2 linked regions of the Drosophila melanogaster genome follow. The gene in region 2 interacts genetically with the main gene of each other region. Each region holds a gene or a part of one and is shown on either strand. Other genes may lie near its edges.

Region 1 (3,520 bases), on a different chromosome or scaffold from region 2:
ACCTGCCTGCAAGTCGCGTATTATGCATATATAGTCTGAGCAGTGGACCAAGTTCATTAGTATTGCATAGCAGTGCCTGTGAAGTGCGTCGTCCGCATAAAAATAAAATTATCTTCAAGATGGCTCCTCGAGAGAAAGTTGAATTTGTGCTGGTGCGCCTGGCCTTTGTTCCTTACATGTAAGCAATTAATATAAATACCCAAGAGATCGCCAGAAACTCATTCATTCCTGTCGCAGAAATCCTCTGTACCCGCGCATCAGCTACCAGATCAGAAAGCACGCTCCCACCGGATCGATTATCCAAGTGCGCGATTGGTTCGAGCATGTGATGATGAGGGAGCGCTCCAAGCTGCCCCCAGATGCTAACATACGCTACGCAGAGTGGCGCATCATCACCGGCGACATGGAGCTGTTTCAGGTGCAGGGCGTCCGCTTCGACAAGATCATGCTGGTGCTGGGCGAAGAAAACATCTCGTGGGTCTTCTATCAGAACACGCCACTTTTCCGCCGTATCGAGGGCAGCGCCTGCTTCCCTGTTAGCTACTGCGGATGCTGCCTGAACAACCAGTACCTGGATATTATGGCCAAAATCAAGCAAACTGTGTCGAGGAAAAAGATACGATGAAATAAATATATCGAGTACTAATGGAAACAAGAGTTTATATTAAGATGAACGCTTTCAAATTTCACTAGGCGCTGGCAGCTGTCTACTCCAGCCAGTGGAAGCGGGAACCGTACTTTGCTGGCGGCTTGGGGTAATCCTCGGGCAAACCGGGGGTGGCATCGGGATAGGAGACCTTCTCCTCCTTCTTGGGTGCTTCCCGAGCTGATTGGATGACCTGAAAACAGAAGTGATTAGGAGAGGTCTAAATAAAGCATGCCGAGAAATTACCTTGGCCCTCGAGAAGTATCCATAGGAGGGACGATCCCAGTCGAAGTTATCTTTGATACACTTGTCGAACACTCCCTGGGTCTTGCGGCAACTAAAGTATGGATGGACATTGGTATAGCATGATTGGAATATTCAACATTTACGGAGTGCTTACTGTGAAAAAGCCATAGTACCGCTGCTCTTATCCAGGCAGGTGGCGTACTGCGTGAACTCCTCATGGCAGGTCTTCTTCACCTTGCGGAAGAAGTCCAGGGCGCAGCTGGTCACGGCTTTGCCCTCCGCCAAACAGGCTCGCGGGTCATCCAGCTCCTGCCGGCACAGCATAAACTCCTGAAATTACACGAAGGAAAAGGTAAACAAACGGGGAAGGTGCTTTTTGAGGTTAGGTTATATAACTAAGCCGCTCGGATTTTAAAGAGGCAGCGGCTCCCAGCTTCACTTTAAGGCGCTTTTCACCTAAGCATTACTATCAGGAGGATTCCCCTGCAATCTGGATGTACTAACATTATTGGCCTGCTCGCATTGCTTGCCCAAATGGAAGGCGCCTGCCCGTAAGGCCGCCGACGATAGATTTAGCTCCTGGACGTTCAGCTCCGACTCCTCGGGCAGTGTTGTGTTGTTGGTGATGACCATAATAGCGTTGCAGTCCTGTGCGATCAACCAAAAACCTGAAAGGCTATGAAATTCAATAAAAAACAAAATAATTGTAGGATTTTGTTAATTTTACGTTTGCTTACAACACAACAGCTGATTTAGATCCAGGGCTGCTGAGACGTAGCTGTCAATAACAATTTATATCGATAGTGTAGCCGTTTCACAAAGTCATCGATAACAGGCTCACAATTTAAATTAAAATGATTTCTTTAATCTTATACATCTGTCTATTTTATAGTGCTGCAGCTGATCGCAATTTAAAAGTAGTTAAGTATGAGAATTCGGTTGACACCATTGTTAAGAACCTCATCGACAACTGGCAGTCGCCGCTAGTTTACCTGAAAAGCCGCGGCTACCTGCCGAAGGATGCGCCCGAAATGGATTTCCAGCAGCTGCAAGGGAACTTGGACCCCAAATTGTCGTTAAACGACTTAGTTGAGCTGAACAAGGATTCCAAGCGGGAGGCGGAAACCAAAAGCCAAGACAATTCCATTGGGCAGATTGATCCGCGGGCAGTCCGATCGCTACAAGATCCCAAGGACCTCGAGCTGAAGAAGATGTTCCAAACGCTGTTCTCTTCGAACGACAAGACTGCCTCCGAGGAGATCAAATCCAAGCTGGGAGTGTCCTGGGATATGAATGCTTTAAAGACATCCGCCCGTTTGGGTGCCAAGAAATATCTCGAGAAGTTCAACAACAAGCGAAATAAGGGGATGTCTCTCTTGCCAATTGAATCCTCAGATGGGACACTTACTAACGAGGCATCTCTAAATTTTTCCTCACTTATACCGCATGCCTTGGAAAAGAAAAGCAACGATTCTGTGAGAAAAACCACTATCAGTAAGCCAAGCTTTCTGAAGGGTGTGGCCAAGATTCTGAGCAATCCAGAAATTAGGTATAGAGACTGGGATTCCAAGCCTGCACAAGAAATCCTTCCGAAGGCCGCGGGCGCATAGTTTTCAAATTCATTGTTGATGATTAAATGTTCTTTTAGTAGCAAAATGGGTTAACAAAATCGCAATCAATTAGTTGGGGGAGGCTGGCCTGCTTCTGGTGCCAGAAGCAGACTCGATTGAGTAGCCGCAAATTTCATATTCATGGCTGTCTGGTTAATCTCAGTCATTTCATTAGCAGATGCGATTGAAACCCGTTTAGTGGGCTAGGCAGCTTCGGAGTATAGTATAAAAGGCCGACGGGCATTGTTTCATTTCAAGAAGCTGCTCCAAAATGCTGAAATATGTGAGTTTAATCGGATTTCAAACAGACTATTGGATAATCAGCCACCTCTCAATTTCAGAGCCTTATCTTTGCCCTTTTCGTCGTTTTGGCCAGCTGCAGTGAGGAGGATCTGCAGGCGCAACTTCTGAAGTCGGAGAACCGCCAGAACCTGGATGGAGCTGGGCAGTTCCAGCATGAGATCACGGTCAGCAATGGGATCCAAGTGAAAGCTCAAGGCAATGTGAACGGCATCCAGGGCGAATACTTCCTTCCCGGCGAAGATGGCAAGCAAATTCGCGTGACTTACACCGCAGATGCAACCGGCTTCCATCCGAAGGTTGAAGAGTGACCGAGTGACTTTGATGTTATGTTAATCTTAACTTATAAAACGGCGGTTTTTTCCATAAAATGAGTGGTGAGGTAATGTCTTGTTGTTCCAATAAAACGTTCCCCTGGTAGAACTCATATTGAGAGCTGTTGGGCTACAGTTCATAGAGCGCTTCAGCATCTTCATCCAAGGGTCTGTCCAATTAGACATTGCGCTTACAGAGCCCCTGAATGGGTCATGTGGAATGATGATGATTTCCTCATCCCACACTGCTGCACAAATAAAAGGTTACCGAACAGCACTCAGCTTTATAATCAATGCCGACAGGCGGCATAAAATACGCATTGTCATCCGCATAATAAGGAACCCAGCGGAAATGGGGCAAAGTGGGGGAACTCACCGGAAGGGAAGCCATTGGGGCTATTGTT
Region 2 (3,470 bases):
GGAATGCCCCCACAAACTTCCAGAGGGGTTCATGATTTCGGAAATTAGATCAGGGAAAATTTAATTTGATTTAGAACGAAGTTTCGCAATTCTGTACTTATTTCATATTATATTCTATGTAACTAAATGAATGAGTTACTATATTTGTCGTGTCTTGCCGACTTTCACGATCTCAATCTATATAGATATAGATAACCTATTAATACGTCACAAATGCTTATCATATAGACCAACTGCTTCATCATCAAGTTCCAAGTGTTTTATTATATAATGGGTAGAACAAGCGTAGTTAAATGTCAGGCTTCTTTTAACTTTTATCTTTATAGATTCGAGATTATCAACTGTTATCATATATATAACAGAAATATTGTGTCATTTGATTAGAAACGTATTTACAGAACTGGATAAAGCAGATGAGTTACTATCCAATACCATCAACACTGTGGTCCAACTAAAGGGTTATCAGATGGGTTTAGCTGTTGATTTCGTGAAGCTTTGTTTTTGGACTCAGTTTCGGTGTCGATTTCAATTAGAATCTTGCGCAACTCTTGGAGCCGATAAGCGAGTATATTTATAGAGTTAGTTTTACGCCAGCCACTTGATAATGTGGCAGCAAAAAAAAAAAAAAAAAAACAATTGATCGGCCAAAAAACGAATCTTTACTGAACACACATGGGTTTGCCAATTATAATACGTATTCTTCATCGGATGGTTGTCCATTTTGAGGTATTCATTTCGCAGGATGCATGCCGCTGCCCATATACTTGTCGAACAGGAATTCGCCCACCTGGTTTTGTGCCTTCTCCAATTGGCTAATATAGTCGGCCAGAATCTTCTGGCCATCCACTTGCTCCTGCAGGAAATTGGCCTCGATGAAATCGCAGAGATTCGGATCCGCTTCCTTGCCAGCCAGGGCGTGCAAATCGAGCAGATGCTTATTGACCTCCAGTTCCATTTTCATTGCGTGCTTTAGTGCATCCAAGGTGCTGGCGAAACAGGGCAACGGCTGTGGTACACTGCTCAAAATGATTAGACCACCACGCTTGTTCATGTACGTCATGATCTTCTCCGCGTGCTCCCGCTCCTCGACGCTCGCCTTTAGGAAGAATCGATGCATTCCGGGTGAACTGATATCGGAGCGATCGAAATGGTAGGCCTACGTGTATTGAACGTACTATATGCATATATATATATTCCCTATTGACTGCGGAACCTTACCATGGCCAGATACTGGTGGGATGCCTTCAACTCCATGTTGATCTGATCGTTTAGCTTCTTCTCGCAACTTTTGGCGAAGTTCTGACGCACCAGCATGCACATGTGGCGCCGAATGTCGCGGAAGCACCACGCCATGTCTTTTGCTTCTTTTTGAGTTTTTTTCTATCTTTTTTTTTTTTTTTTGTTTTTGAAAATTTAGAAACCTATACAATTTGGAATTGAAAGTCAAAACACAAACAGTGTGTCTAAAAGGCAACTGGGTCGGTTCGGACAGGTGTCGATGGATCGGATACGATCCATCTAAGTTCGTCCATTGATCTCATCTCCAAATATCCAGATCTTCACATCTCCGCATCGATCTCCGATCTCGCGATCTGGAGGAGGTGTTGATCCACCGTTCGGACGGCCAAAAAACAACGGGTTGGAGTTCAAAGTGCTGCCGGCTCTGATTTCACTTAACTTCCACTTAGCAATAGTGTGTACACAATCTCTCACTCGGTTTGTTCGCATCTATATACGTTCGTACGTATAGCTTATAGATACAGATACATATGTATATATGTACATATATAGTTAAATATCTGTGTCCAGATATGTTTGCTTTAACTTCAACAAGTACACACGAACACGGACACACTAAGTAAACGCAGTTATTGTCTTTTATTAAGTGAATGGAAGACGACTTTTGTCCGAGTTTTGTATAATCGTGTTATACCCTTTCTCATAGGGTATTTGAACGCTTTTCCCAAAATATTGCTGATACAGAAAATTGCGACAGCCAATGCAAGTTAAAATAAGAAATTTAATTTATTAAAGGATAGAAAACATAATATTATATTTTGTATTTCAAATGAAATGCTTTCGTAGGCGAGTTCAACGCGTCTTACAGGTTTAGGGTATTGAAAATGTAAAGATCTCCCAAGCCGAGGTTTCCAAACATTTCCTATAAACATCCAGGTGGTCAAAACTACTCGCACTTTACTACAAACATCCACTCATTACGCACATTTAAAAAACCAACAAAGCAATGGTGACTCTTGAAGCCATGTGCGCCCCATAAAAAGGCAATAATAAAGATATAAATGGTTCATTTTCACCGACACACAGGAAAACGAACCGAGAAAAAAAACACATAGGAGTTATGCAAATCATCGTTGAACTGGACAATAACAACCCAAATAAAAAATAGCAAACATTTTTAGATGAGTCTTTACGTTTTTTTTTTTCAAGCATTATGAAACAATTTTCCCTATGATTGTGATTAAATAATATATACACTTATTAAGTGAACGATGACATATGATCTTGTGTGTTTATAGAGGCAATTAACATGTTTAGTTCATTATGCAACAGTCGCAATAAAAATGAAAATTATTATCTTATTCAATATTTAAGGGTCAAATGGAAAGGCTTTTGAACACAGAAAAATTTCTAGAATTTTGTAGAAGATTTTACAGGCATTAAAGTTCTATAATTACTTAAGCATATTGAATTTCAACAAAATCCACATCGGAACTCAGTTAAATTTCAAATTCCACTCCCGTAATGCCAACAAGATTTTAATTTGGACAAGTGTGACAGCTTCAGCGACACATTTACATCACCTCCAAAATAATGGCAACAATCCAGTTTGCAGTGTCATAAAAACGTGCAACAAATTATTAACATTAAATTAAGCTGCGGAGTCACAAAAAAATTTTTATATACATTCGACGTGTTAACACAAAACTCAAACGTCAGCATATGAGGTAAAAAAAAAAAAACAAAATCCAACATAATTTGCTGAACATGAGGTCGAAAATAGCGTACGGCATACGAAAATATTTAATCGATTTGAGCTATTGTCGGCATGATACTCTTTCAAAGAGCATACAAACTTGTTCCAAAAATTAAACTATATATTAAAAAAATATTCAATTGTATGTATATAATTAAGTGTTATAAATGTGTACCATCTTAATTTTGGTATAAATATAAGCTGCTAAAATATCTATTACATCTTAAGGGGTATTCCCGTCTCGACTATTTCAGAATATCACGTATTTCTTTGCGCACATTGTTCAATTCAATAAATTGTGGCTTCGATCGCCGTCGCCAACATACGAATAATTTACAATACATACGAACGGTGTATCAGTTAACATTCATTTACTTTTGCTGCTGGTCATAATTTCCAATGCGTTTATTTATTTAAATTTTAATTTACAAGCACCCGATCGTCTGGAATTTACAGTCAGTCGCAGTGCATGCAA

The links.
Region 1: of Fer3HCH (region 2) and ND-19, changing one suppresses a phenotype caused by changing the other (phenotypic suppression), as found in Drosophila melanogaster (one study listed by BioGRID).

What each region holds. Positions count from the first base shown.
Region 1 is NT_033778.4:24,662,556-24,666,075, reverse strand, and holds ND-19 (NADH dehydrogenase (ubiquinone) 19 kDa subunit), read right to left. Parts: upstream 1,679-3,520; 5' UTR 1,630-1,678; exon of another isoform or gene 1,620-1,629; intron 1,569-1,619; exon of another isoform or gene 1,561-1,568; 5' UTR 1,526-1,560; coding exon 1,397-1,525; intron 1,223-1,396; coding exon 1,047-1,222; intron 984-1,046; coding exon 893-983; intron 840-892; coding exon 708-839; 3' UTR 637-707; downstream 1-636. Other genes in the region: CG34214 (uncharacterized protein), read left to right, coding at 120-178, 238-625; CG30161 (uncharacterized protein), read left to right, coding at 1,747-2,502; Cpr60D (cuticular protein 60D), read left to right, coding at 2,774-2,785, 2,844-3,113.
Region 2 is NC_004354.4:13,106,744-13,110,213, forward strand, and holds Fer3HCH (ferritin 3 heavy chain homologue), read right to left. Parts: upstream 1,452-3,470; 5' UTR 1,354-1,451; coding exon 1,219-1,353; intron 1,157-1,218; coding exon 731-1,156; 3' UTR 639-730; downstream 1-638.